Elephas maximus indicus: one gene and its partners. The protein of the gene in region 1 purifies or fractionates together with the protein of each later gene. This does not show direct contact. Links are inferred from orthologs where the notes say so. Each region holds a gene or a part of one and is shown in the gene's direction. Other genes may lie near its edges.

What was found.
Region 2: the proteins of CAMKV (region 1) and NOLC1 purify together in Homo sapiens (affinity purification with mass spectrometry; 3 studies listed by BioGRID and IntAct, counting the BioPlex papers as one, with this or other methods). This does not show direct contact. The link is inferred for Elephas maximus indicus from reciprocal best matches to the Homo sapiens genes CAMKV and NOLC1.
Region 3: the proteins of CAMKV (region 1) and GPATCH8 purify together in Homo sapiens (affinity purification with mass spectrometry; 3 studies listed by BioGRID and IntAct, counting the BioPlex papers as one, with this or other methods). This does not show direct contact. The link is inferred for Elephas maximus indicus from reciprocal best matches to the Homo sapiens genes CAMKV and GPATCH8.
Region 4: the proteins of CAMKV (region 1) and ZC3H18 purify together in Homo sapiens (affinity purification with mass spectrometry; 3 studies listed by BioGRID and IntAct, counting the BioPlex papers as one, with this or other methods). This does not show direct contact. The link is inferred for Elephas maximus indicus from reciprocal best matches to the Homo sapiens genes CAMKV and ZC3H18.

The regions. Positions count from the first base shown.
Region 1 is NC_064838.1:54,290,320-54,297,368, reverse strand, and holds the start of CAMKV (caM kinase-like vesicle-associated protein), read left to right. Parts: upstream 1-4,042; 5' UTR 4,043-4,123; intron 4,124-7,049. Other genes in the region: uncharacterized protein LOC126063634, read left to right, coding at 1-640. UniProt on the Homo sapiens protein: Does not appear to have detectable kinase activity.
Region 2 is NC_064834.1:53,751,077-53,759,080, forward strand, and holds the start of NOLC1 (nucleolar and coiled-body phosphoprotein 1), read left to right. Parts: upstream 1-4,999; 5' UTR 5,000-5,067; coding exon 5,068-5,187; intron 5,188-6,950; coding exon 6,951-7,006; intron 7,007-7,117; coding exon 7,118-7,260; intron 7,261-7,360; coding exon 7,361-7,491; intron 7,492-8,004. Other genes in the region: PPRC1 (peroxisome proliferator-activated receptor gamma coactivator-related protein 1), read left to right, coding at 200-923, 1,908-2,057, 2,161-2,227, 2,349-2,470, 2,718-2,869, 3,162-3,265. UniProt on the Homo sapiens protein: Nucleolar protein that acts as a regulator of RNA polymerase I by connecting RNA polymerase I with enzymes responsible for ribosomal processing and modification.
Region 3 is NC_064837.1:51,005,702-51,013,684, reverse strand, and holds the start of GPATCH8 (G patch domain-containing protein 8), read left to right. Parts: upstream 1-4,983; 5' UTR 4,984-5,241; coding exon 5,242-5,286; intron 5,287-7,983.
Region 4 is NC_064839.1:53,895,715-53,902,700, forward strand, and holds the start of ZC3H18 (zinc finger CCCH domain-containing protein 18), read left to right. Parts: upstream 1-3,985; 5' UTR 3,986-4,185; intron 4,186-5,099; 5' UTR 5,100-5,163; intron 5,164-5,170; exon of another isoform or gene 5,171-5,351; intron 5,352-6,986.

The DNA.
Region 1 (7,049 bases):
GCTCGGCAGTGGCCATGGCACTTCCTATGTGGCACCCATCCTCACTGGGGACCTGGCCCCAATTGACACCTACCAGCTGGACGTTGCTGGTTATGACCTCACTGAATACTTGGCTCAGCTGCTGCTGGCAGGTGGCCACTCACTGCCCAAGGCAGGGCTGGTCAACCAGATTAAGGAGGCCAGCTGCTATGTGGCTATGGATATGGCAGCAGAGATGGCCAGCATCCAGGCCCAGGCTTGTGTGGACTTTGTTCTCCCAGACAAGCAGGTCATCACACTGGGCTCTGAGCGCTTTCGCTGCCCTGAGGCCCTTTTCCAGCCCAACCTGCTAGGCCTCAACCAGCCGGGCCTCCCACAGCTGGCCCTCCTAAGCATCAGCCAACTGGAAGCCAAGCAACAAGAGCAGCTGCTGGCCAATGTGGTGCTGGATGGTGGCAGCACCCTGTTGAAAGGTTTTCCTGAGCGCCTGAGACAGGAGCTGGGCCCCCGTGCCACCGTACTAGGGTCTCCCCACCGTGCTGTCGCTGCCTGGCTTGGGGGCTCTATCATGGCATCCCGGGACTCCTTCCAGAGCCTGTGGCTCAGCCGTCGTGAGTACGAGGAGGAGGGCCCGTGGGCCATCTATAAGTACCATCTGTGAGCGCATAAAAGTTATGGTTCTGCTTACTTTGAACACTGTAGCATGTTTTGGGCACAGGGTGGTGAAGGGAAGAATAGGGGTTTGGGCGTGGGGTTGGAGGTAGAGACCCTGGCACTTCCAAGGCGTATCCTGCCTCTGCACACAAACTCCATGGGCCCTGGCAATCCCACCCTTTTCAGGAAGCCTCCAAGCCCCTTGGTTGACATTGGCTCTGGTCTAGCCTGACCTTTACTGCACCCCAAGGGCAACCACAGAGAGTGGCTGGTGTGGGTTTTGCCCTGTTGCCCTGGTGACAAGTGCAATTACTCTTGATTGCCAGTTGGTTGCCATGGCAATTTCAAACATAATGTAATAACCCACACAGCCTAAAGTGAGTCACAATGGGGATGGGGTGGGGGGAGAAGGATGAAGGTGGGGGAGCCCACTCCCCAAGCTCTAGAGGAAAGATGCTTGCTACCCCACTTCTTGGGCCCTCTCCTGGGGGTGGAGGCCAGTGACATGAACAACCACCAAGCAGTTCCAAAGAAAACTGGGGACCTGGAGTGTTTGTTGCCCCAGGAAAAGTCCATGTCAGAGTCTGGGCTTCTTGGGGAGCTGGCCTGGTGATGCAGGTGCTATCTGGGTCTTGGTTGGAGTTCCATTTTGGGTTTGCAGGGGCTCCTGCTGGCCAGCCAGAGCGTGAGGGTATGGGAGTGCCAGCCTTTGGTGTCCCAGGGCAGGAGGGGAGCAGATAAGTTCTGGATCATGGGTGGGAGGTACAACCTGAGCTGAAGGATGAGGCTCTGCTCTGCCCAGAGTGGATATGGAGGCTCATACCCTGTCCTGGCACCCTGACTGTCTCTCTCTGGTCACAAGCCAGACTTGTAAACATTGGGCCCCCTTTTTCTCCTCAGTCCCCTAACCAAGGCAGCCTCTGTTTGCAGGGTGTCAGGCAGAGGCCTCCTCAAGAGGGTCCTCATAGAGGCTACTGGGAAATGCCAATGCTAACTGCCCTGCTCTTGTCCCAAATTCTGCCTGGGGCTGCGGGGACTCCTACCACCCCTCTGGCCAGTAGGGTGGCTAGAAGCAATGGCTCCTGGCTCCATCTGGCTCTGAATGTGGGTAGGAATGAAGCTCTGCATCAGCCCGGTCCATTGCCTGGAAGAGCTTAGAGAATAGTGTTCAGCTGTTGCTGCTACCCCTTCGCCCTACCAGGAGGGCAGCTAGAGGTTGCAGCCAAAACACTGGAGTTGGCCCTTCCCTTCATGTGCCTCCCTGCCTGGAGGCTGATGGGACAAGCCATGCCCTAGCCACAACCCTAGGTTCTCGTCTACATACTTGTGAGGGGCTGCTCTGGGTGGGGGTACTGGGAGCAGCCAACCATGTAGGGTCATCACAGCCCCTGGCTGCCTCTGGGCATGGTCCAGCCTCTTCCATGCCCTGCTGTCCCACCCTAATGGTCCTCCCCCAGATTCAGCCTCCAGAATCCTGTCAGGAAGGGAGGCAGGGAGGACCAGTGGCTCCAGGGCCAGCTACAGCATCCGCATACACGTGCCAGCAAGCATGCCTGGGTGCACACAGAATGCAGACACACGTGCCCCTGAGCACCACTGCACACACTGTGCTGTTGCCATCTCCCTCAGCACAAGAGCACACACACACACGTGTACTCATACACCCTGCCATGTGCTCTCACCCACACGCACACGGTGTGTGCACAGGACCAAGAAGAGGTGGAGTACTGCCAGCAGCAGCAGGGCTCCAGGGAGTCAACCTTTTCCCTGCATCTAAATCTCCCATTCCAGCTTTTCCTTGGCCCCTAGGCTTCCCACTCCTGACTGCCTGGATAGCCATGACCTCGGCAAAGGTAGGAAACATGTGTGACATGCTTCAGTTGCACCACACAACTCAGAGACCTATTGTTTCACAGACAGTCAGCAGATCACAGGAAGGACTGAGTGCCAGGCCATTCATTCATTCTGCAGATGTTAACTGACCAAACTGAGATGAGAAGCCAGACTTGCCCTGCAGATCCCCAGCACTCCAGGAGATGCTGACCCAGTGGTAAAGCTGGTGCTGGGACTGAGACCCAAAGAGCCCAGAGGCCTGAAGGAGGTAACCCAAAGCCAGGGAAAGATTTGAAGGGCTCTTTGACACCCCTTCTGGAGGAAGAATTTGAGGGGCCTTGTTTGAGGCATTCCTTAGGCTAGCCTTCCAGCCGCAACCACAGCCCTGGCCCTGGCTTCCTCACCTGGGCAATCCCTCCTGCCATCATCTATGGGGAACCGTGCAAGGGAAATCAAGTCTCACTGGGTAAGCTAGGGAAAACCACTCGACATGGGTGAGGGTTTGGGGATAACTCTGTCCTACTAGGGCCAGGTCAGAAGAATCACTGGGAGGGGTGAAATGGGATGGGGTTGAGCCTAGTGCCAGGCACTGTGAGGCCTAGGTCTGGCCTTCAGGATGATCCTCAGGGCTTGTGAGAGTGGCGGTTCAGGCACTGGGTTTATCTGCCTTCCCACAAGGTACAAAGAAATGGCCAAAGGCTTCCTTGAAAGTTTCTTGCTTGCAGTTCTGAGCTTCCTCCAGACAGGGGTCAAGCCTGGCAGGGCACCTCCGTGCCACTGTTCTCCCAGGTCTCTTATGCTGCTCTTCCTCACGAAATGTTTGAGGTTGATTAGACTTGAAAGAAAGCAGAATCCACACCATATTGTAGGTGACTTTTACAGCTTGGGAAGTTCTGTGCCACACAGGAGGGTGCAGACTGAACCAGCCACCCTGGTTGGGACTTGGGAATGGAGAAGACTTTGGCCTTGCAGGATTGGGAGGCAGGATGGGATAGGAAGCTCTGCCACCACAGTTGGGGCTCTAACTATGCTGCACACTGAAAACCCACTCACACTCCCCATGTCTTCCTAGTCAGGCAATGCCAGTCTGTGAAGCAGCCTGCTCTAGCGACTGTCCACGTGGTTTTGCCCTTTCGGTCAGGTTTGGGGAGCTGGACAGTGCCCCATCCCCTGGGGACTACTGCCTGTCAAGGGACTTTTGTGCAGCTCCAGGCCTCAGGCTCCCTCCCAAACCCAACCCCTGCCTCTTACAATGGGCATAGGAAGTTTCCCTTCGGCCCTTGTTGCCCGGTCAGGAGTCTGAGGGCCTAAAGGAGCATTTGAGAGCCCGGCCGGGGCTAGGGAGGCCAGCGCTCACGGGCTTCGCTGCCATCCCGCGTCTGCTGGCCAGCGCGTGAGATCCCGGCCTCAGGCTCCTCCTGGGCCCGGGGCGGGGCTGGCTAAGGGAGGCCCCGCCCCCAGCCCGCCCCCGGCCCGGGGTGCGAATCCGATGCCGGCTAGCGGCTGGCGATGCTAGAGGTTCGCGAGCCGAAGCGGCTGCAGCTGGCGCCGCGTCTGCCCCGCGTGCCCGGAGCGGATTCTGCCCGCCGCCCCCGGAGCGCCTGGCGCCCAGCTGAGCCCGCGGTCGCTTCCTCCCCGTGACGGACCGGCGCTGCAGGTGGGGAGCGGGCCGGGCCGGGGGGGCTTCCTGAACGCACGTTGGGGGGCTCTGGGGGACTGAGTCCCGCCGGCTCGAGGTTCGGGGCGCAGAATGCGCGGGGGCGCGGCGAGGACGCGGGGTCTTGGCGGGGCTAGAACGCGCGGGCTCTGCAGATCCGGGGGCGGCGTGCAGGGTTGATCTAAAGTTCCCTGTCTCCTTGGACGGCTTGGGGGTCCCTGGGGAAGATGGGGCCTGTCCGACTTAAGTACAGGCTAATACCCCGCGCCACCCTAGTCCGTCTCGCTGGGCTTCGAATTGTGAAAACATTAACCCTCGAAGATTCGTGGTGCCTCCCGGGGGTGGGGGCCGAGGGTAGAGCCGTCCCTCCCAGCTCTCAGAGCTGCCTCCAGCCCCTCCCAGCTGCCCCCGGCCCCCTCCCTCCCGCTAAGCAGTCACTAATTTCCATGACAACGGAGAGTTCTTTATTGGAGACAACCCGTAGGGGGCTGGGCGGGGCTGCCGCGGGGTGGGGAAGGAGGCCCCAACTCTCTGGGGACCACGGCCCCCCAGCCTACTTCCAGCTGCCAAGCCTTGACGTGGAGGCCAGCCGGGGGTCTGGGGCACAGTCCCACGTGCGGGGTGGGGGTGGCACATGTTCCCGCTGGGATGCGGGGCTTGGTGCTCACACGTGTGCCTCCCGCATGTGTGTGCTGTGCCAGCGGAGGCGAGGAGCGCTGGGGAAGGGGGTCAAGGTGGCACCACGGTGAGGGGCAGGGCCCCTGCGGTGGAGGGTCGGGGGGTGAGACAATGTGAGCCGAGCCTGTAGTGTCTCGAAGAGACCCCAGGCTCTTGAGTCCCAGCCCCCCACAGCTCTGCCAAACTGCCTTTGTCGCACCCCCCCCCCCCACTCCCACGGGGCAGAGCCTGTTCCACCAGGTTCCCTCCTAGGGAGCAGGGCCTCTGTCTTTCATCAAAAGCTCAGACCCCGTAGCATTCCAGCCCCTGTCCTGACTCCCCTCTCCCAGCCTTAGGCTTTGAGCACCCCCCAGGCCCACCAGCAGAGACTTGACACCCCCAGTTGATTTTTGCCAGCTCCAGCTGCCTGCTGGGCCCTCATTACCTCAACTGGGAAATTTGTGATTCCTCCTCCCTCAGTGCCAGCCTAATCCCAGGGTGGGGCCAGGGTCTCTTCTCCCTTTTTTTTTTTTTTTTTTACTGCATTTGGGATGGGCACCCAGGTGCCCTACGGTTGGCTGTTGACATGTCTGCCACTTTCCCTCTTCTCTGGCCCCATGTCCTGGCCACCATTCACAGGCAGGCAGGTAGTCCTCCATCCTGGGAGGAAGCCACTGAGTCCTTGATCTCTGCCCTGGGAAGCTGAGGCATAGAGGGAGGGCTGTGCAGTTGTTATCCAGTTGAGTTGCTTGGGGTGCCACTCCTAGCCCTCTCCTGACAGGATCCACTACAGGGGGACTAGGCTGTTACAGGAGGGGCCCTAGGGACTCAAGGCCTGGAGAAGACAGCAGATGGGGGGGGGGCCTGGCTGGGTGGGGGGCAGAGCTGGATCAGCTGAGAGGAGGGCCATAAAAGGAGGCAGCCAGTTCTCCAAACCTCATTTCCATCCCTCCCCCTACCCCTTGTGCCTTCAACATGTTAGATCTGCCTTACTCTGATGACAGGGAGAGGGACTGAGGGCTGCCCTGGCTGAGGGGCTGCAACAGTTTACTTCTTCCCCAGGGCCCTGTCTCCCACACCAAGCTCAGGGGATATAGGAGGGTTTGGTGCCAAAGATCCAGGCACCAGGGACAGCTTCTGGCACAGGTGTTCAGAGCACACGGCTATGGAAGCCTTAGGGCTCTGCTGGGCACCCATAGGCCCCTCAGAGCCCCCTACTCACCTCCCTCCCCCTTCTGCCTGTGCCCCTTTTTCTCTGTGGCCTCCTTGCTCCCCCTCAATCACAGGTTCTGCCTTTGTCTCCCTGTGTCCCTGCCTCTCTCTCTCTTTTCTAAAGTCTCTCTGTACTCCCACATCCCCTTCCTTGATGGGGACCCATGTCACAGAACCTTCCCAGTGGGGAAGGAACCAGGCCAAAGTCTCAGAGTTATTGGAGAGGAGGCCTGACCAACACCTCACTCCTCCCCTGCCCCATGTTTTAAAACTTCCATCACCATAGCAACCCTTTACTCCAGTGCCTTCCTCTGCATTTCCCCTCCTCCCATCCACAGGGAAGCAAGGGTTCAAAGAGTCCCTCTAAGGGCAGCAGGTTGAGGGCTGAGCTTTCTAGTGGCAACACTGGACTGAATACCCACACCCAAGACTGAAGAGACCCCCCCCAATACCCTCTACTTAGAGGGGGGAGAGTAAGCCCCAGGAACCATTGTCATCCATGGTTTAGCTGGAGCCTCATGCCCCAGGGTACCTCCCTCCCCAATTCCTGAAGCTGCTGGATGGTGGGCTAGAACCTTGGCTCTACCTCGTGACACAGATTCTTCAGGTAAGGCCTCCACCTCCCCTGGCCCTGTGAGTGAAGCCTCAGCTGTAGACACGCAGGGCTTGGGCCTGGGTTTGTCCATTGCAGCAGGAAACCTTGCCCCAGGCCCAGAGAGAGACAGAGAACAGGGAAGGGGAGGGGGTGCCAGCAGGCTGGTATTCACAGCTGCCACTAAATCGGGAGGTGTTGCCCATAGTCGTTGGGAGGCAGCTGGAGGCCTCCTGGGTGCCTCTTGGACTCCCTAGATTTACAGCAAGCTCTGGAGTCCCCCATGGGGCAGGGGCCAGGGCAAAGGGAAACTCCTGTAAATGACTAGGAAAGGTGGGGTCTGAGCTAGGCTGACCCCAGTAGAGGAAGGGGCCGGACCCTGATGTGGGGTATCTGGGCCTCGAGCTGGCTTCTGCCCCACTCAGGCTTTCCCTGGGCCAGACTCACCTAAGGCTGCAGTAGGGC
Region 2 (8,004 bases), on another chromosome or scaffold:
TGGCTGGGTTGTCTATTGCTGGTCCCTGATACGGGGAACACAGGAAGGAGCAGTTGCAGCAGTGGGAGAAATTGGGCTGTTGACCGTGCTTGGTGTACTTTCTGAGATGAGGTGGGGGTCTCTGGAGCCTGTGTGCACAGTATTTGGAAATAGAGAATGGGATCTCACCCTGCTATCTCCATCCTCCCTCCCCCCACAGGGCTCACCCCTCCAGCTACCCCTCCCCACCAGTTATGGAAGCCCCTGGCTGCTGTCTCACTGCTGGCCAAAGCCAAATCTCCTAAGTCCACCGCCCAGGAGGGAACCCTGAAGCCTGAAGGAGTTACAGAGGCCAAACATCCAGCTGCAGCCCGCCTCCAAGAAGGGGTCCATGGCCCTAGTCCAGTCCATGTGGGCTCTGGGGACCATGACTATTGTGTCCGGAGCAGGACCCCCCCCAAAAAGACGCCTGCCTTAGTCATTCCAGAGGTGGGCTCCCGATGGAATGTCAAACGCCATCAGGACATCACCATCAAGCCTGTGTTGTCCCTGGGCCCAGCTGCCCCTCTGCCCCCACGCACAGCTGCCTCCAAGGAGCCGCTTGATCACAGGACTAGCAGTGAGCAGGCAGATCCCCCAGCCCATTGCCTTGCCCCATCTGCCTTGCTGTCCCCTGAGGCCTCTCCCTGCCGGAATGACATGAACACTAGGATTCCCCCTGCATCCTCAGCCAAGCAGCAGTCAATACGCTGTTATCGAAAAGCCTGCAGGTCAGCCAGCCCCCCAAGCCGGGGCTGGCAGGGCCGCCGCGGCCGCAGCAGCCATTCTATCAGCTCTGGGTCCAACGGGACCAGCGAAGCATCTTCTTCCTCATCCTCATCGTCGTCTTCCTCATCCCGTTCCCGGTCCAGGTCCCTCTCCCCCCCACACAAGAGGTGGCGAAGGTGAGCTCTGGTGGCCTGTTAGGTCCACTCTGTTTAGGAGCTTCATGAACTCCTCTCTGTGGTTTTCTTTTGAAACCTTTTGCACATTAACTTTGATACTTTTAGGCACTAAGGTTTCTGTTTCTGTCTTTGGCGTTTGTCGTCTCCTTTCCTAGATTGTTGAAGGAGACAAACTGGGAAGAAAGCTTCTATCCTGTGTTGGAGTATAGGGTATCCCTGAGGTCCCCTGCTTCCTTGAGACTTGCCTTGGGGAAACTCTTACGGTTCTACCTTGACCATGTTGATCCCCTCACATATCATATTGGCCCTCATTTATGGCATTTTCCTGGTGGTATGTGGGAAGGCGGGATAGTGAGTTGTTAACAGGAAATAGTCCTTCCCTTAATCATCTATTGAGGAAAGAGTTTGGGGCAGTTTCTTTGGGTATCACTGTGGCCTCATCTATTTCTTGGCAGTATCTTTACTCTTAATAATGAACCCAAATTTTCCCACTTAATGAATTCTTGGTTTTTGATGGTGGTAGATGCTTTCAGAAATGGCCCCTGTACAGGTCTAGCATAGTCTTCTCCCCTCAATGCCATGGTCACAGCAGTCCTGTGAGTCATGGGAAGGGAGCAGTAGGCCAGAGACTCAGGTCTGGCCTTAGCACCACAGATAGCTGGCTGTGAGACCAAGGGCCCACTCCTATTCTCTCTGGGTCTTTATCTATTTTTTTTTCTTTCTGATTGTTAAATATTTTTCAGTTTTTAATTGCACAATTGAAGATAAGTATGGTCTTTGTCAAAACATACCAGATATATGTAAAGTTCTCTTGAAGGGCCTCAGTTTGTTCATCTGTGAAGAAAAGTGCTCTTCTAGACATCTGCTCTGCTTTGCCTCTGGTCCTGAGCCTCCAGACAGGGAGGCAGCGCTGGGGCCAGGGTGAGGTAAGTGGAGTATACCTGCACTACTCCAAGCATTCCTGCATGCCCCTTTATCCTCCAGGTCCAGCTGCAGTTCCTCTGGGCGTTCCCGAAGATGCTCTTCCTCTTCCTCCTCCTCCTCATCTTCCTCATCGTCCTCATCCTCCTCGTCCAGTTCTCGAAGCCGTTCCCGCTCCCCATCCCCCCGCCGGAGAAGTGACAGGAGGCGACGGTGAGCATGTTTAGGGAGGCAGTGTACCTGGGATGCAGACACCTGAGAGTTGAGTCTTGGGTTGTCTTGTGTCTGGGGAGCTGATGAAACCTTCTTCTGTCAGGTACAGCTCCTACCGTTCGAGTGACCATTACCAAAGGCAGAGAGTGCTGCAGAAGGAGCGTGCAATAGTGAGTAGAGGAGCAAGTTATGGGAGAAGGAGGAACTTCCCTCTGAGCCATGAGCTCAAAGAGCTGAGTGTAGCTGTGATCCTGGCTCATGGCAGGTCTGTTTTTCCTTGCTCCAACATAGGAAGAGAGAAGGGTGGTCTTTATTGGGAAGATACCTGGCCGCATGACTCGGTCAGAGCTGAAACAGAGGTTCTCGGTTTTTGGAGAGATTGAGGAGTGCACCATCCACTTCCGTGTCCAAGGGTAAGCTTGGGCCCTAGGGTCAGGATGTTCTTTCTGCCTCATTCAGCTACCTTGATGTTTCTTCATCCTTCCCCCTTGCTTTGGTGTGCTGGGCAATGTAGAGCACCTTCATTTCTACGATCAGAGGGTTGGTTATTTGGGGAGTGGGAAGAAGCACCACAGACCCTCTTTGTACCCTGGTGCTGTCACTGCTCCATGGTATGTGCCCAAATGGCCATCCCAGCCCTTGCCTCACCCTCCCCACCAGTGACAACTACGGCTTCGTCACTTATCGCTATGCCGAGGAGGCATTTGCAGCCATTGAGAGTGGCCACAAGCTGCGGCAGGCTGACGAACAGCCTTTTGATCTCTGCTTTGGGGGCCGCAGGCAGTTCTGCAAGAGGAGCTATTCTGATCTTGGTGAGTGCAGGGAGGGCCTGAGGTTTTGGCACATTTCATCGCCTCCCTAGAAGGCTTCCCAAGCCTTTGAGTGTGGGGCTAGGTAGACTTAACCTTCATCTGACATGTGAAGAACCTGAGGGGTGAGATCAGAAGAGAAATGGGGTTCTCCTGTGTCTCTTTGACTTAAAATCAAGGCAGTTTTAACTCCGTTCATTATTGGGATGGGAGGTGGCTAGCCATTTGAGGACCCTGCGGTTGGGAAGCAGTGGTCAGAGACCTTTGAACCCTGACATTTGGTCTTTCTTTATAGACTCCAACCGGGAAGACTTTGACCCTGCCCCTGTAAAGAGCAAATTCGATTCTCTTGACTTTGACACATTGTTGAAACAGGCCCAGAAGAACCTCAGGAGGTAACCCTGGGCTCTCCTCCCCCCCTTTTCTTTGGAGGTGCCCAACCTCCTCCATCCCCCTCCCCCACTCTAGGGGAGAGAGCTGCTAGTGAAGAGATGACTGTTTTATAAAGAAATGGAAAAAAGTGAAATAAAAAATGTGTAAAATCAGATTTTTTAAAGGGTATTTGTTTTTTATAACAGGTATTGAAACAAGATAACTTGCATTCCTATGTAAGATGGTTAGGGCTGAGGGGTTCCCCCAGTGTTCGGAACATCTTAAGTCACTATGCAGACTAATTAATAAACATGAACTAGTGAGAACTCTCAAGTGTGATTGTGTTTCTTTCTTTGATGCTACTGCCAAACATACTTTTCCTTTCTGAACATAATCAGGGATATACTCATGCCATTAAGTTCCTAGGACCTTTCTCTGGTCAGGTACAAAATTCTACTTGACTGACTCCTGAAGTGTGTTGTCTATGAAATCAGCTATCTAAGGCAGTGCATCTCACACTTTAAAGGGCATTTGAGTCATCTGGAGATTGTTTAGAATGCAGATTCTGATTTTGTCCTTTTGGAATTGGGCCTGAGATTCTACATTTCTAACAAGGGGATATTGTTTCACCAAGGATGTAGAGAGAGCTCACACTTGTTGCAAATAAAGGTTTTCTCATTCACCGTCTGTTTTGTTCACCATTTTAGCTTGAGCACAATTCTTGACACACTGCAGGCAGCCAGATGTTTAAAGAATGCGCGTATGTGGACAGATGTGGCCACCTTCTCTCTGGGGAATAGGACTGCTAGAGTTGTATCTAGGGGAGGGGAGTGCCTCTTTTGAGAAAGAGGAAATCCATGAGGAAGTGGATTCTTATCCTTCCTGAGGGGATGCATTAAGAGGAAGTAGTCAAGGGGTAGTGCTTCAGATTGAAGGGATTGTTGTCTGCTAATGTGACTTGAAATACGGCAGAAATTGGAATTTCCTTGGCAGACCTGGGCATTGATATTGGGTTTACTCATGACAAAGGGAGGGGTTCCCCAGTTCTCCCACAGAGAGTTCACAGTGTGAGCTCTGACCCAAGAGATACAAGGTTTATTTTCTGGACTAGGGGTTGGAGGGATTGCTGTGATCCAGAGGTTTGGTGCACTATCCTTTTTCTTTCATGGAGCTGACCTAAGGCTGAGTAATTGGGGTAGAGAGGCCTATGTGTTAGAAATCTGTGGGAGGTGTAGGGCAAGTCATGACAGGAAAGTTGTGGGGATCAACACTTTCATCACCACGGATAACCTGAAGGACAGATGGGAGTCTGGAGGCTAGGGTGGTATCTGAGAAAGGGCCTCCCTGAGTGTTGGAGACAGTGAAGATGAAGAGTGAGAATCCACCTGTAACGAGAATGGGGGCTGTTGGGAAGTCTTGTGACCAAGTCTAGACAGTAGCACAGGTCGAGCCGGCCAGTCCACTCACCAGCTGAGGCGCGGGAATCTGCTCTGAAAGCACCTCCAGCAAAAGGACAGCGCGCGGGAAGCCCAGAGTTTTCCCGCCACGGCAGAGGGCGTGACTCCTGACGTCAGAGCTCCCCTCCTACAAAGTGACGGCCGGCGGGCTCCGCCTTTACCATGATGGCGACACGCGTAGGACCGGAAGAAATTTTTAGATTTCCTCCTTGACCCTACCTCGGAGGCGGAGGTGGGACTGCTATGTAGAATACCACACTTCCGGTATGCGCCCGCGCGGCGCAATGACGTCACGCGAGCCCTCCCCCTTGTGTTCCTGAGTTTCTAAATCGTGCTGCGTGGGCAACCGTAGTGACGCGTGTATCCTGGAGGATGGCGGACGCCGGTTTGCGCCGCGTGGTTCCTAGCGACCTGTATCCCCTAGTGCTCGGCTTCTTGCGCGACAACCAACTGTCAGAAGTGGCTAACAAGTTCGCCAAGGCGACAGGCGCTGTGAGTCCCGGGCTTGGGGCGCGGGTTGGGGAGGGATGACCACAAAGCTCTGGGCCTTGACATGCTTAGGGTTCCGGGTAGGGAGGTATGTGGAATCCGCCAGTCGAGTGTCTGCAGGACCTTTGTGCCGAGCTCTCGGCGGTGACCGGGGAAAGTCCAAAGCCTCGGCACTTCCTTTTTCACGAGGTTTGACTAGATAGCGCTGAGTCTTGTTACATTTTCCTGGTGAGCCGTGCAACGGCTGCAGTGTGGGGCCCGCGTGGTCCAGGTCACGTGGGCTGGCGGTGTTCTTGGGGGAAGCTTGGTGTCCAAGGGTATTGGTGGCGCTTTTTAGGCTTTTCGTTAGCCGAGGGAAAGCGTGAATTGACCTGTAATTCGCAATTGTCCAAGACTTAAAGACGAGTGAAATTGCTTCAGAAATGAAAGCAAGGGTTTTTGTGAGTAAAGAAGAAAATGAACGAAAGTAGAGGCAGGGTTCTGCTCTTAGTGATATTGAAACAAAGGCTGAGTATATCATGGCTCTACCAAGCAGGCATAGCAGTGGGCTTAGAGTTTCGGCTTATGGAATCAAAGTTAGGTTTAAGATCAGGCCCAGAAACCGGGGCAGTTTGACTAACCTCTCTGAGTATTTGTAGTTCTACATCATCCACTTGATAGAATTTTTGTGAGTTTCAGCCAGATGATGTATACAAAGTGGCAATCCTAGTGCCTGATGTGCTGCAAGCATCAATGAGTAAAAACGGTTAATATAGTTATGGTAACTTAGATGCTCCAAACATGTGTAGGAGAAGGATAACCAGGAATATGACAGATTTGGAATCCACATCTCAATGAAAGCAGACATGACTGCATGGGAAAACCCCTGCAGAGAAGGGTAGAATAGTAGTCTTAAGCATGTGTAATAACATGATTGAGAAGGTAGGTTTGTCCTTTGTGGCAGAATCAGTCTTTGAAAGGAGGTGATTAGATCAGCTTCAGAAAGAACTTCCTTAAGCTGGGATAACCTGCCTTGTAAGTTGATATAACTGCCCTTTTTTTTTTTTATTGGATCAATTTTGTATTGACTGTTAGGGGGACTGCAGAAAGTGTTTCCGCAATGGGTTGGATAGAGTTGGGTCTTTCAGAGTTAGAATTCTTTGGTCTTATGAGACAGAAACTATTAATCGTGGAGAGTTTACTAAGGATTGGATGCTAATTCTTTTATATGCATTATTTTTTATCCTATGATCAACTTAATGAGGTGTGTAGTATTATCTTCATTTTATAGAGAAGAAAACACTCTCAGAGATTAAGTTCAGTTCTGTCCTGTAGGGTTGCTATGAGTCGAAATTGACTCGACTGGTAGCTTATTTACTAATTTTCTTTTGGAGTCTTGTTTTCAGCAATTTGGTAGTACAAACCAAACACAGTAAACATTTTCTTGTATAAATGTTTGTGCCCTTGTTTTATGAGTAAGGATACATTCCTAGATGACACATTGGTAAAGAGAATGCATGTTTTGTAAGGTTTTGATAGTGGATAAATAGGCAGGAAGATAGATAGTACCACAAACCACAGGAATGCCCCAAGTTTTGGGAAATATACAAATGGAATTTTTTTTTCCTTAATGTGTGCAAGTAGGAGCAGTCTTATGAAAATTTAATGTTTGTACTAAATTTAGTCACAGGATTAGTAGGTAGCATTTAAAGCATAACGGAACATTTGATCTCTCCTAAAATAACCAGTATAAAATTTTGCTTGGCTCTTTTTCTTTTCCCCTACAGACCCGTCAGGATGCCAACGCCTCTTCCCTCTTGGACATCTATAGTTTCTGGCTCAAGTAAGCTTTCCCTGTTCCACATTGTCTGTATTCTCCCACTGGGCGATTTGGGCTGTGTTCCTTGGTTTGGGAAGGTCCTGGTGCCCCAGAAGTTAGCATCATTGACTTTAGCAGGTCTGCTAAGGCCCCAAAGCGGAAGTTACAGGCAAATGGGCCAGTAATTCAGAAGGCTAAGAAGAAGACTTCATCCAGTGACAGCAGTGAGGATAGCAGCGAGGAGGAAAAAACCCAAGTGCCTCCAGCTAAAAAGGCTGGTAAGGCAGGGCAGGGGGCTTGGGGTGGTGGTTCCAGGAAAAGGATTTGTAGCCTTTCTGTTCCACATGGCTAACTCTTACTGGTGCCTGTGCTGTTCAGCTATAGCTGCCAAGCAGGCCAGTCTTCCTCAGCATCCTGGAAAGGCTGCAGCCAAAGCATCAGAGAGCAGCAGCAGTGAAGAATCCAGTGACGAGGAGGAGGAAGAGGACAAAAAGAAGAAGCCTGTCCAGGTTTGCAGTTTTGGGAAAGGAAGGGGTTGCTTATGGAATTGGAAAGAAACCTAAATTCTTGACTTCTAGCTTGTGACCAAGAGGTGGTGCTGGGTGTGAGGCAGGTGACTGTGAGGAAGAAAATCTAGTGACTTTCTGGGAGGTAATAGAAGTATGAGGTCCGGAACGGATGTGCGAAGATGAAGTTGGGCTTCAAATCTGGAGGTATTTTTGCTTCTCTGATTGACTGTCTGGGGCTCTGACAATAAAAGAGAGAGCATTTAGTAGATAGGTACTGGAAACTCTTGGCAGGGGCCAGCAGGGATAGAACTGATACGTCAAGTGGCTGAACTTTTGTTTCTCATTAACAGTTGGTTGCCTTTTTCATCTGCTTTTCTCCTCAGCTTTCCCTTTCTCTTGCTGCTCCATTATCTGTTAAAAAATAAAAAGGGCTTAGAAAGCCCTGTACACTAGGATGTCCTTTGAGTACCCAGAAGTACTTGCTGATTGCCCTACTTGTGTGTTTCCTAACAG
Region 3 (7,983 bases), on another chromosome or scaffold:
CTCTTTTTCTCATCTGGACTGGGTGTTCGTTAGGCCTGATATACAGCTGTCATCCTGGAATGTCTCCACATCGTCATCCTGGGAATTCTCTTTGCTTCTTTAGTTGGTTAGATCCCTGCTTTCTGGATCTCAAGTCTCTCTGTTTCTCGTTTTACTCCTTCGTTCTGCTGTAAAACATCCCCTAATAGCTTCCAAAGAAGGGGTAAGTGGGAAGTAAATTTTCTTGAAAGCCTGCTGGTTGAAAACATCTTTTTTCTCTTTCTCAGTTGATTAATGGTTTAACTGGGTATAGATTTCTGTGTTGGAAACCATCCTCTTTTAGAATCTCCAGGGCATTACCCCCTAGTTTTCTCTGCTTTGGTGTTTTGGAGATGTCCAAAGCCATTCCAATTCCTTATCCTTCACATGGAAGGTATTTTTTTTTCGAGAAACATTTAGGAGCTTCTCTTTGTCCCATTGTCCTGAAATTTTACAGTGCTGTGTCTGGCACCAAGTTACTTTTAATCTGTGTACTGGGCCCTTCAGTACCAGAAAATGTTCACATGTTATTTCTTTCATATGCTAGTGCTATTTTTTTTTCTTTCCTTTCTGGAAATCCTACTATTCAGATGTTGGATTGATGCTCAAGCTCAAGTTTTCTTATCTGTTCCTTCCTATTTTCTATTTCATCCATTCAACAAATCTTTATTTAGCACCCACTAAGGAAACCCTGGTGGTGTAGTGGTTAAGAGCTACGGCTGCTAACCAAAAGGTCGGCAGTTCGAATCTGCCCAGCGCTCCTTGGGAACCCCATGGGGCAGTTCTACTCTGTCCTATAGGGTTGTTATGAGTCGGAATCGACTCAACAGTGATGGATATGTGCCAGTTGGGAGCCCATAGGAGCTCATAGGGGTGGTATGAGTTGGAATCAACTTGACAGCAATGGATTTGGCTTTGGTATAGATGTGCCAGTCGTTGTTCTGGGTGCTGGGAATATAGAAGTGAATAAAACTGAAAAAAAGTCTCTGCCCTTGTGGAGGTTATATTCTAGTGGAGGAATATAAACAGTAAGCAGAAGTAAGAAAATTATATGTTAGAAAGTGATAAGTACTATAAAGAAAAACAAAACAGGGGAAGAGGCTAGGGAGTTCAAAATATATAAAAAAAAATTTTTTTATATAAAAAAAATAAATATATAGGGCTCTGTAATTTCAAATAGGGTGATCAAAAAAGATCTTACTGAGAAAGTAACATTTTGAGTAAAGACCAGGAAATGAGGGCGAAAGCCCTGTGAATATCTGAGAAAGAATGATCCAGGCAGAAAGAACAGCATATCCATAAGCCCCAAAATAGGGCAGGCCGCAGCAGGAGCAGGTCTGGTGTGCCCAGAGAGAAGGGAAGCAGGGAGCATAGTAGAAGATGAGGCTTGAGAGGGAGGTGGTGGTGGTCAGTAGACTTTATACTGTAAATGACAGAAAAAGTCACTCGAAAGTTGGAGCAGAGGACTGACGTGATCTGACTGACTTTTTAATAGGATCACCATAGTTGCTGTACAGAATGCAAGGGACAAAGGTGAAGCAAGGGTAACACTTAGTAGCTACTGCAGTAATTCAGGAGAAAGTGAAGAGTGAAGGTGGCTTGGACCAGGGTATCTTTTTACTCTGTTTCCTGAGAGATTTCCTCAACTTTATTTTCTAACCTTTCTATGAAATTTCTCATTTCTGCTTAAGAATTTTGAATCTCCAAAAATCTTTCTTTATTTCCAAATATTTTTTCTTTTTTGGCATCCTATCCTTGTTCCCTACTACGATCTCTATCTCTGTGGATATTGATTATAACTCTCTTGATGTTTCTTTCTGTTCCTTTTATCATCTCTGTTGTTGGTAGGTGCCACTGAATCAATTTCGACTCTCAGTGACGCTATGTGACAGGGTAGAACTGCCCTATAGGATTTTCTGGGCTGTAATTTTTATGAGAGCAGATTGCCAGGTCTTTCTCCCTGGATGGATTCCATCTGCCAACCTTTTGGTTGGCAGCCAAGTGCTTAACCATGGAGCAACCAGGGCTCCTTCATTATCTCTGGCGCCTCTGAATTCCTTTTTGCTGTTTTCGTGTGTGTTTTGAGGGAGGGTATCTATGTCTTTCCTGTTACAGATTTCCCCTCAAATGTCTGGTAATCCTTGGCTATCCATTTATACTTAAGAAACGCATTGCCATCAAGTCGATTCCGACTCACAGAGACTCTACAGGACAGAGTAGAACTGCCCCACAGGGTTTCCAAGGAGCAGCTGGTGGATTTGAACTCCTGAACTTTTGATTTAAAGCTGAGTTTTTAACCACTGTGTCACCAGGGCTCCTTAATACTTAAGAGTGAGGCATTAAAAAGCTGAGTCAAAGCTCTGTGTAGATGGGGCTTGCTGTATTATGGGCTTCTTTTTATGGTATTTGGGCAGGAACTGACATTTTTGTTGACAAATCTCCTCCTTCCCGTTGTTGGTGCTTGTACATTTTTTTTTTTTTCTCCCTAAACAAGTCAGTTTCCCCAGGGAGAGATTCCCTTGGTCTCTCGCTGGAATGCTGGCTTTTACTGTATCCTCCTGTTTTCAGCTTGGCACCCCCTACCTCAGCTGTGCTAGACATGTCAAAACCCAGTCTTCTTGGTTCCAGTTTTCTAGAGGGTAACCTCCAGCTTGCTCCCCTAGAGAAGGAATGGAATTTAGGGTCTAATTGCTCTTAAACTGCCTTGTAACCAACCAATCCTCCTGTTTTCAGCCTCATCCACACTCTCACCTTAAGAGTTACCTAGCAATGACTCCAATTCCCAAGATTTTCTGGTGTTCTTCACGAAAATCAGCTTGTTTCCTGGCTTCCCCTACTCCAGGACTGTCTCTACTCTCTCAAAGCCATTTCCACTTATCTATGCTCTCTACCTTCTAAAATTTTGTTGACATCTCTTGTCTGTTGTTGTCCCCCTCCTGCTCTCTTTGTCCATGTGAGTTTATACCCTTCTCATCCCTTTGTCATTTTAGTGGGGTTTGGAGAGAGAGAAGTAAATTTATGATGTGTACCTACGTGATTCAATCTGCTACTTAACCCTCAAGTCACTTTACGAAGTATGAATTCAATGTGTTCTGCCTCCGCTTAGATGGGGATGTCTTTTCACTTCTTAGAGCTGTTTCATAATTGGCCTGGGGGTCAGGTAGGACAGACGGTAACAAAGGAATAGAAGATCAAAGGAATAGAAGATAACCACACTTCCTCCAAACAATTACATTCCATTTTATTTTCTCAGGGCCAGGGTAAGGGCTGCTTTTCCATTGTGTGATTTCTGTGCTGTTGCTATTTTCAAAAACAGTCCCAGGTTCTGCTCAGTGCGACTCTTCTCAGCCAAACGAGAGACCAGAGGTGGGAGAGTAGAAAGGCGCCTCATTTGGTTGTATAAAGAAAGGAGACAGTTAGGGCTGCTGCCAAGACTGCTCAGGGAGGGCAAGGGGGAAGGTTACTTTTAAGGGGTTTACAAGTAGGAAGTTCATGCAAGTTACATCAGCAACTCTTAATCATACTACACAGGCATCATGTGTTCAGAAAATGGTTAAACTCTACCCAGAGGCGGGGAAGTTACTATGTATGAGGTCCAAAAGGTTATCCTGAATATCAGCATGGCGCCTAAATTGGTTTCTGCCAATTTTCTCCAGTTTGGGGGAAGCAGTTAAGGAGAGGGGAACCAGGATTTAAATGTAAAGCTGGTGGGAGGAGGCTTGTCAAGCAAAGGAACCAGGATTCTAATGTAAAGCTATGGGTGTGCCAAGCAAGCTGCTTGAAAAGGTGGAATTTTCTGCAGCCTGGGGACCACTGTCTTACTCATTGGACTGCTACCCTAAAGGATGGCAGTTCGAATGCACCCAGAGGTGCCTCAGAAGTAAGGCCTGGCAATCTGCTTCTGAAAGGTCACAGCCTTGAAAAACCCAATGGAGCAGTTCTATTCTGCACATGGAATTGACTCAAAGGTACTACTACCACCAACAGCTCTTTTCAAAAGCAGTGAAGTCCTGCCACACCTGTGTGTTTTATGTACTTTAGCTAAGGGTACTAGAGGGCTGGGTGGGATCCTCAGGAAGGTCATAGGATTGATAAGTCTGATTTATGACCCACACAGTCAGTGCAGAGCTGGAGGGTTTAAAAAAAAAAAAAAAACCAACCCAAGCCAGCTGCCCTTGAGTCATTCAACTCACAGGAATCCTACAGGACAGAGTAGAACCCCATAGGGTTTCCAAGGAGTGGCTGGTGGATTCAAACTGCTGACCTTTTGGTTAGCAGCCAAGCTCTTAAGCTTTTCACCACCAGGTCTGGAGGATACAGATTACCAAACTCAATTTCTTTATTTTAGAAAATGGAAACAGGCCTAGAGAGCTTTAGCTGAATTGGATCAACTGTTCAGACCTCTGAGAAATAATACTTCTTTCAAACGATTGCTTGTAAATGCCAAACTCTTTCCATTCATAAGGCTTTTTGGTCTAATATTCCTTCTGCCTCAAGACCTTACAAGGCTGCAGGCCCCCTTCCGCTTCTCAGGTCAAAGGCCATTTCAGAGGTCATCCTTCTCATCATGGCACCCAGTTTTTTTTTAAATATACTTATTAATAGCTGAAGTTGTGTAACTGTCAGTTATCTGACTTCCCCCATGGAACGTAAGCCCTTTGAGAGAAGGCATCTTTTCTGGTTAGTTCACCGTTTGTCCTCAGGGCAAACCAGGATTTGAAACAAAGTAGAACGGCTCTAAAGCCCGTGCTTTCCGCCGCACTATATTACGTTGTTATTTGATTAATTAAATAGACGATGGACCTCTGCATACACAGGGAGCCAGGAGGGTAAGAAAAGGGCTGTAAACCGGCAAGTGAGCAGCTGGAAAAACAGCCCGACTCATCCCCACCGTGTTTCCTCTGACCTTTCCCTCCGGAAGCGCTAAGCGCCCCAGGGCGCGAGTCCGCACGCGTAGCCGCTGGGGTTGCTCCGGGCAGCGCGCTGAGCGGTGACGCGAGGGAAGGTTCCGCCTCCGAGGCTGGAAGGCGCCTGCGCCGGCGGGGTTTCCGTCAGGACGGGCGTTCTGGCTCACTCCCTCCTTCCCTCCCTCCCTCGCCTGCGCGCGTCCGGTGGGCGTCGGAGGAGGCGGGGAACGGGGGAGGGAAAGTAGAGGGGGCGGGTGTCGCGGTAGGGAAGGAGTGAACCGGAGAGCGTCGTTCTGAGAGGAGTGAAGGCGGCAAGATGGCGGACCGCTTCTCCCGCTTCAACGAGGACCGAGACTTTCAGGTAAACACCGGCGCAGCCGAGGACCCGGGGAAGGCGCCGGCCGAGTCTGGAAGCTTCTTCATCCTTGGCTCCCAGATCTGTTTCCTTCCAGGCTCTGCTTCGGCTTCCGAACCCGCTAGCCCTCCTCCCACCTCCGTTTTCTCAAGGGGCCTCCCAGCTTGAGGCGAGGCCGCATCTTCTCCCACCCGCATTCTCTGACTTTAACTCAGGCCGCTGGATCTGCGGCTTCGACCTGTTTGGGCTTCGGCTGTCGGAACCCCAGCCTGGGGGCAGTGGGGGACGTGCGCCCTGCGGGGCGGCCGGGCCTGTGGAGGTGCAGGGCTGACTCCCAGGGGGGAAAGAGGGTTGCGCTGGGAGGATGGGGCGAGAGTTGCTGAGGCCAGGGCTTCGGAACCCCTGGATTTCGCTCATTCGAATCTTCTTGGGGCCCTTCTCCCGTCTCCCCTCACTATAATAATCCTTTTCATTGCCCATTTTTCCATTTCTTCGCCTGCAAAAAGGGTGCCTTAGTTATCAGACGCGTTCTTGGTTAATCAGACATTGAGATTTCACTGGCCATAAATGTTGCTGTTGTTAGGCCGTTCATTGGTCTTGGACAGCAGTTTAAGTTATACGACTGTGGTCGATGTAAGCTCAGTCAGTCCCAAATCCTACCTAGAAAGATTTGGGGGGACGTAATGACAAATGGGCTTTCTGAGCATGTGAAAACTAGTGCCAAAAACTCGATTTTTTTTTCTCCAGTTGCAGATGTTGGTGTGGAAAAATGGCAAGCATTATTGGGGAAAAACTAAGGCCAGTTTAGAATAACTTGTCCTCTGACTGTTTAAAATACCTTACTGTCGAGTATTGTTAGTGTGGAAATCTCCGAAACTAAGAAAGATTTAGTAGAGGTTGACTGTTTCTAGGGTAAAATACATTCTGAGTGTCAAAGAAACCACTGCATTACTACCGCATACCCTGGCAACAGCAATTTGGGTCAGGGGATGAACATCAGAACTCAAGTTTTTTATCCCGCTGCGGATCTTCCTTAAAGCAACGTGAGAACTACTCTAAATGTGGTTCAGAAGGCCGTTTGAAGGATTTGAATTCCCTGAGGTGAATGGATTAGTAAACAGGTAAAGCTGTTTAGCAGTTTTTAAACGGACTCTGTTAACAGTCTAGTACATAAAAGCGTTGCGAGAAGTTTTGCAGCGGTAAGAAGGGGGGGCGGCTGTTGAAAAGCCCTGTGATCATGCGCCTGCTGTACAGCTGCAGTACACAATACAGGATCTCAGGGTGTTTTAAGGATATGATACAGGCCCAGGGAAGTTGGAAACAGTTTATATGGGCCATTTGATTTCTGAGGACGATTACTTCTTTACAAACACCATAAAACATGAATAGGCTGCAAAGTATGTGGACTTCATTGGTAATTTTTAAAGAGACAAATTGATAACACCCTGAAATACTTTTTAGACGTGAGAATTTCAAGGTGACCTGATAAAGCTGAAAATAGATAAGTATGGACAATTTTTAGAGGAAAAATGGCTCTCAACCACAGAATTACAACAGACTTAAAAAAAAGAACCCAGAGTTTGCAGGGGCTTGAAAGAAGGTTTTGAAAACCATGGGTAGCAGAGTGTGAATGCTGTCACTTGAAAAAATTGAGGCTAGCCTCTAGTTTTTCAATACCTAGTTTCTAAGAAGGATGATCCTCTGCTGTTTTAGTTGGGTTTATGTAAAATCTCCTTTTGGTTGCTTGGTAGTCCTTTGAAGATACTACATGTATTTTAAACTTATTTCCTGCTTTTATGTTGAAATAACCAACTCCTGTATTGGGTCAGGAGCCCTGGTGGCGCAGTGGTTAAGCGCTTCGGCTGCTAACCAAAAGGTCAGCAGTTTGAATCCACCAGCTGCTCCTTGGAAACCCTCTGGGGCAGTTCTACTGTGTCCTATAGGGTCACTATGAGTTGGAAAGGACTCGACAGCAAGGGGTTTGGTTTTTTCGGTTTGTATTGGGTCAACCAGGGAAATGTTTTTTTTTTTTTATTTATTTAGATGTCCTAGCGTTTTGGTTTAATAGGCTATTGGGAGTGGAAATCTTCTAGACAGTTAGGAGATGTTAAAATTTTTGTAAACTATTGTGCTAACATTTCTCAAGAGAATTCATTTAAAAATACATAAAGTAGCATTTTCTCTGTTTTAATAAAAGGAAAACAGATTGACTTTCATGAAGAATGTCCTTTGATTTAAAGTTCTTGGGGAGGAGAATGTAATGTAATAGAACACCCTTGTGTATGGCGTATCTGAAACATTTTTCAAGTTCAGGTTATTTGAAATTAAATCTAGGTTATAGCCTACCCCCCCAGAAAAGAAAAACTGTGGCCTCCTTTTCAGGTTTTTAAGTGATAAATGAGGCGAAGTCACTGAATATTGTGGCTACTTAGTGATAATAGGCTTGAAAAATACTTAGTAGGTTTTCAAACACAGTATATAGGTCCTGTTCTTTAAACATCTTCTGATAGCACTGGAAATTTCCTTGTGCCATCTTCTCTGGAAAGTTCTAAATGACTTACTGTTTTATTTGCCTTTATTTTGGCAAGATAATTTAGAATTGTAAAATTTCACTCTTTGGCAATTTACCATCAAGTGTAAAATGTTGGTGAGTTTGTTGTCTCTTGTATGGAGTCAGAGAGATGGGCTTATGGATTTTGTGGC
Region 4 (6,986 bases), on another chromosome or scaffold:
GCTTTCAAACTGAGTCTTTTGTATCAAACCAACCCCACACCATTCTGCTAAAGACAACTATAAAAACTGGGCAAATACATGCAAACGCCAAAACATTGGGGAGCACCAGCATGACAGGAATCGGGGCAGCACTGATTTGGAAATGGGGTCTTTGCAGATGGAACTGGTTAAGGTAATAATAGGTCATACTAGAGTAGGGTTCGCCCATAATCCAATATAAGTGGTGTCCTTATAAAAAGAGGAAAAGAGACACAGAAGGAAGAGAGACACATAGGGAAGAACACCATGTGAGGACAGAACAGAGATTGAAGTGACGGGGCCACAAGCCAAGGAATGCCTGGGGCCACCAGGAGCTGGAAGAGACAGGAAGGATCCTCCCCTAGAGCCTCCAGAGGGAGCGAGGCCCTGCCCACACCCTAAATTCTGACTTCTAACCTTTAGAACTATGAGAGAAGATTTTCTGTTGTTTTATGCCCCCCACTTTATAGTTCTTTGTAACAGCAGCCCGAGGAAACAACTACAGTTAATCAAAGTTACACATTTATTTTTAGTCAGCGTTGGAGCCAAGAGTCAAATCCTGGCCTCCGTGACTAAGAGCCTGGATCCTAAAGGAGGTGGTTGGTGACTGAAAGTGCCTAACTCTCAGCAGGCTCTCAGGAATGGTAGCTGCCATCAATTTCTTTTTCTTCCTTTTTAAAATATATTGTCTAAAAATCTAAGGCTTAAAACAGCAACAACAAAACACAACAGTTTGTCCAACTACTGGTACACACATCGTGGATGAATCTCAAAAACATCGTGCTGAGTGGCAGAAGCCAGATACACACTACATGCATTCATGTGACACTGGGAAAGACAACTCAAAACTGTCATGGCAGAATACAGGGTTGGGGAATGACAGCAAGGGGTACCAGTGGACTTTCTATGTAGAGGAAATGTCCTCTCTCGATTGCAGTGGTGACTGCACAGGTATAGACCTTTGCAAAAAACTCATCGATGTGTGTTTTACCAAAAGTGGAGTATACCTCAATGGGGCTGATTTTTTTAAAAAGTCCCTTTTCATGCTGTCTCATTAGGGGGAGATCAATTACGAGTATACAGCAAAGTGTACATAAGTTTTTGTATGAGAGTCTGACTTGATTTGTAAACACTCACTTAAAACACTATAAAAATAAAATCTTTTAAACGTCCCTTTTCACCCCCATTTCTCATTCCCAAGGGGCAACTGTTTCAACTCTTTGAGTTCTGTCCTCTGGCCTTTTCCTCATTTCTAATAAAATATTCATACGGTTATTTCTTGACATTCTGAGTTTTGAAAACGTGTATCGACCTTTTCCCCCGGAAAAGGAAGATTCTGCTGTCTCCCACACCACCCCTCCCACACCCATCCTCCAAATATTTTTAAGTTCAAGTAAATTTTTACTAAATATTTAAAAGCCTGCTTTCTAGATCCCATCATTCCTCCTCCCCCTCAAAATGCCCTCATCCATGTCATAGCATACATCAAGGCATCATTCCTTTTTACAGCCGAATAATATCCTATCGTGTGGATATACCACGTTGTGTGTATCCATCCATCTACTGATGGACGCCCAGGTTGTTTCCACTTTATGGCTACTGTGAATGGTGCTGCTACGAACATTCACGTACAAGTCTTTGCATGGACGTGTGTTTTCAATTCTCGCAGGTAGATACCCAGGAGTGGAATTGCTGCGTTGTCATACTGTAACTCTGTATTTAATGTCTTCATTTATTCCCTCACACATTCATTCAGGGAACATGAGGCAAACATCTATGAGTACACTTAACGTCACTATGGCCAGACATATACATGTGTGGAACGAATGGCGGTGGGCTCACAAGAACCCCAATGAAGAGTCCTTCCACTGGAGGAGGAAGATGGGGTGAGGAGAGGCCTGCTCTGCTCCACACCTCAAAACCCTTAGTCAACCCCAGGACCGGTTACATAGTTTACAGGATCTGGTGTAAAACTGAAATGGAGGGCACCTTGTTCACAAACTAAGAATGTTAAGATGGTGGCAGCAGGCACTAAACCAAGCATAGCCCCTTCTAAGCACAGGGCCGTGGTTACCCCAGATTGTCGCTCCCAGAGCAAGCAGAGCAGATTTCCAACTTTGTCCAGTCTCTCTCCCTGATCACCCTCCCCATTCAACTCCAACTCTTCTGAAGACCCTTGTTGAGCCCTGCCAAAGCCATTCCCTCTGTCTGGAATGCTCCCCCTTCCTACTCCAACCAGTCACCCTCTTCATCCTTCAAGAGGCAACTGAAATGTTCATTTTTTAAAAGACTTCACTGCCATGTTTGAGCACTACTAATTAAGGGTTTCCCAGGTGGAGCCACGGGTTTGCTCAGGAGGAGCCAGGGAAAGAGCTCTTTAAAGAAGCACTACCTCTGCCCCCTCCCTTTTCTGCCAGCCTCCTCTCAGGTCTCACTCTCCTGCTTCCATTTTGCCTTTTTTTTTTTTTTTTAAACACCTGCATTGAGTCAACAGAAGACCTCAAATAATAGTTAAGAAGGCACCATTTTTTAAAAATTGTACTTTAAATGAAAGTTTACAGGACAAACTAGTTTCTCATTAAACACTTCGTACACATTGTTTTATGATACTGGTTAACAGCCCCACCACACATCAACACTCTCCCCTCTCAACCTTGGGTTCCCTATTACCAGCTTTCCTGTCTCCTCTGGCCTTCTAGTCCTTGCCCCTGGGCTAGTATGCCCCTTTAGTCTTGTTTTATCTTAGGGGTCTGTCTAATCTTCGCCTTAAGAGTGAACCTCAGGAGCAGCTTCATTACTGAGCTAAAACGGTGTCAGGGGGCCACACACTCAGGTTTCTCCAGTCTCTGTCAAGCCAGTAAGTCTGGTCTTTTTTGTGAGTTAGAATTTTGTTCTACATTTTTCTCCATCTCTGTCAAGGACCCTCTGTTGTGGTCCCTGTCAGAGCAGTCAGCGGTGGTAGCCCAGCACCATCTAGTTGTACCGGACTCCGTCTGGTGGAGGCCATGGTAGTTGCAGTCCCTTAGTCCTTTGGACTAATCTTTCTGAGAAGGCACCACTTTTGAAGAAGGTGTGAGTTGGGACTGGGGGGCTCATTCATCCTGCCTTCCCCTTATCCGCACTCATCCACAACCACATTCTTAATATCCCCAATTTACCGATAAGAAAACGGAGGCTAGATACGCTGAGTGACTGTCTCAAGGCCACACTGCAGTACATGGGGGAACTGCAACTCCGACATACACGCCCCCGAAGCTGCGCTGCCTGCCTGGCGCTCCCTCCCTGGGCTGGGGCATCGCGGCGGCGCCTGCAGGACGGTAACTGGATGCAGGATGGTGACCGGTGCGCAGTCACTGTCTGCTCAGTTCTCAATTAGCTTCTGGGCGGGCGGGGCTGCTCCAAGCCTCAGGTTACTCATCTTTGAAATGGACATCTTGCCCGCCTGGCTGTTCTGCAGATGGCAGTGATGATGGTCAACCCTGAGAGTCTGTGAAAAGTTCGTCATCAGTAAAAAATGCCCTGAGTCTCCATTCAACGTCTTCTGACCGGCAAAAGGTGAAATGTTAAAGCTGGTTACATTTGATAAGGCGAGAAAATATTTCATCCGAGGAAGATAGATTAACGTGTTTCCGCTTTGATATTTAGAATAAGATGTTTTCTTCCGAAGGCGTCAGCCAGCAAAACTGCGAGGCGGCGAACCGGGGATCGCCTGCTTCCTCCTGGAAAGCCGCGGCGCACTCGTCACCTGACAGGGCGCGTCACATGACAGCGCTCGCGGGAGCGTTAAACCCTATACGCAGGCGTTCTCAGGCGGCCCCGTCAAGAGCGCGGGCTCAGGGCCCCGCCCCGGGGGGCGGGGCGTCTTGACGGCGCCTGCGCCGCGACGGTGATCGGGTGGGCGCGGGCCGGGGGGCGGGGCCGCGCGGAGGCCGGAAGGAAGAGGGAGCAGGGAAGAACAAGCGAGGGAAGCCCGCCTGCCCCAGGACGACCGTCGCGGCCTGATGACGTCGTACAATGGCCGGCCCCCGCGGGTAGTGGAGCCCGTTTGTTCCGCCCGCGTCGCGCTTGAAGCCGGAGCGTCTGAGGAGCGGAAGGGCAGAGGGACGTCTACTCCGCGCCGTCCCAACTCCAGCGGAGCAGTGGCCCGCTCTCGGCGCTCGCGCTGAGGTGAGCGAGGCCCGAGCGGGCGGCTAGGAGGCCGGGCTGGCGGCGCCGGCGGGGGGAGGAGGAGGTCGCCTCGGCGGCGGCGGCGGCAGGCAGGAGCGTGGCGGCGGTGGCGGGAGCCGAGGCCAGGGAACCCTTCGCCGCCGTCGCTTCCGTGGAGCGCCCCAGGCTGCGCGCTCCGGCCGTGGGGGCAGCTGACCGAAGCGTGGCTTCTGGGCCCCCGGGAAGGGGGATACTGAGACAGGCACGATTCCGCGTTCCGTCCGCGGCGAGTCCCGGCCCGCGGGAGCCCTGGAACCCCTCAGAGTCTGGACTCCTCGCGAGCTGCCCTCGCGCCCCGGGTGGAGTTTATTTTCCTGAAGCTGTCAGTTCTCATCCGGGCATTCGCGTGGCACATGTTTGCCGTCCACAAAGGGAGGGTGAGAGGCATGCGGATTTGTCCTCCGGACTAGGCCGGCCCCAAGTGTTGATGGCTCTTTGGGGGATCTTTGAGCTCTTTGGAGCCACCTGGAACTTGCTCCCTCGCCTCGAAAGTGTGCACAGGTTGGACGTATTTGCTGTGCCCGAGATGCTCTCCAGCGTCTTAGAAATAGTAATGTACTTGTCTCTTTGATTTAGGACCCCAAAGGATTCTGGGCCCCTAGAATAAACTAACTGCAACTATGATGCTGGAAGAACCTAAGACTTTAAGACTTAACTAGTCTTGCTCCTGCGAAAACCTTAAGTTTTCCTGGTTACTTTGTGACAGCTGAGTTTGCTGGGCAGAATGGTTGATTATGTTAAGTGAACTTTTTTTTAACAAACTCATTTGCAAGACTAAACCAGTCCTCAGCTCCACTTGAGGGAAATGGAAGAAGGGACTATGACATCTGAACTTCAGTTTGGGGTGTATCAATGGTTCCTCATTCCTCCTTTAGGACTCACCTCTGTCATACTGCCTGTGGAATGGTCCCTTCCTGAGGCAGTGGTCGGGATTCCCAGGTGAGCCTGGACTGAGGGAGATTCCAACTTCACGCCCTGGGAGGGGAGTCTCTGCCTGATTACATTACAGTCTGAGCGTTTGAGTAGAGTCCAACCAGGTCCCAAAAGCTGAAACTACTTTCCAGTGTTAGGGGAAATGCTCAGACAGCTGAAGAAAGCTTTGTGGAGTCATTCCAGAGAGCATACAGGTAAGTTCTGGCTGTGCTCGTGTTGGAAGGGGTTTTGACTTATCACAGCTACAAATGATATCAAGGTGTTTCCTTATTTTTTCTTCTGGTGGTCAAATTTAGTAAATTTGGGTGATGCTATCATTGTCAACTATAGAGGAGTCAGTCTTTCGTTTTGGTGTTACAAGTCTGTAAAGTTATGAACCTGAATTTTATCTAGACAAACCAGAACTTAAGTATCCAGGTAGACACTGCGTTGTTAAAAACAGTTGTCCCAAAAGGTTATGTTTCTGTTTCATTGATGTTTCTTTGCCAGTACGTCTTTAGCACTCCTGTTACGGTAATGAATATGTAAGCCATGTGAGAAAATCAGTCATATTTAATAGTCATACTACATGTTTGACCAAAACTTGTCTTACCTGGCTTGGTAACTCACCTCATTCTCCAGACCAGGCTCTGAATGACTTCTGACTATTTCTGAAACTAACCCACCTTGAGGAGGAAAATTTGCTGCTACCAGAGAGAGCCAGGAGAGCGATCTGCAGGTCTGAAGATCACTCTGAAAGAGAAGTTCCCGCGTGCTCTGTGCTTTAGCAGCGCCGTAGGAAGCGGTGTGTGGCCTTCCAGGGCGACTGCTTGGAAAGGAGACCACTCCCTTTCTGTGACTGATTTTTGGTGTATTCTTTTCAAAATTAGGCAACTCTTTAAATTTTTTTTTCCCTGATGCGCAACAGGTACTTTCTTAAGTAACGAGATTTTGTCATTTATGCATTTATTCACCAAACATTCATCCAGCACTGCCTGCCGAATGGAGACACTATAGGGTGGCACATGTCACCTGCTCTCTGGGCAGGTTCACAATCTTGTGGATCAAAAGTCTGAAGGTTTAGCTGGTTCCCGGCTACAACCAATGACTGTCCTGACAGGGAACACAATGGAACCCCTGAGGGAGCAGGAGAGCAGTGGGATGCAGACGCCAAATTCTCGTAAAAAGACCAGACTTAATGATCTGACTGAGACTAGAAGGACCCCGGTGGTCATGGCCCCCAGACCTTTTGTTGGCCCAGGACAGGGAACCATTCCCAAAGCCAACTCTTCAGACAGGGATTGGACTGGACAATGGGATGGAGAGGTTTGCTGATGAGGAGTGAGCTTCTTGGATCAGGTGAACACTTGAGACTGTGTTGGCATCACCTGTCTGGAGGGGAGATGAGAGGGTGGAGGGGGTTAGAAGCTGGCAGAATGGACATGAAAAGAGAGTGGAGGGAGGGAGCGGGCTCTCTCACTGGGAGGAGCAATTGGGAGTATGTAGCAAGGTGTATATAAGTTTTTGTGTGAGAGACTGACTTGATTTGTAAACTTTCACTTAAAGCACAATAAAGATTAAAAAAAAAAAAAGAAGAAGGTTTAGCTCCAAACCATGCCGTGAGCCCACAATTCACGGTGGTTGTGTCAGAAGAGCAAACTAAGCAGAAATTGTGATTGTGGGAGTTAGGTAACACTTGTCCAAAGGACCCCATTTCATTGACTGCACCTAATAGGCCGCATATTTCACTTTCTTGCACCCCTACATATCGGTTAAGACTTGTTCGGATAACCCCATTTCATCAGGCACGCTTAATGGGCTCTGCATTTCTCTTCCTAGCACCCCAACAT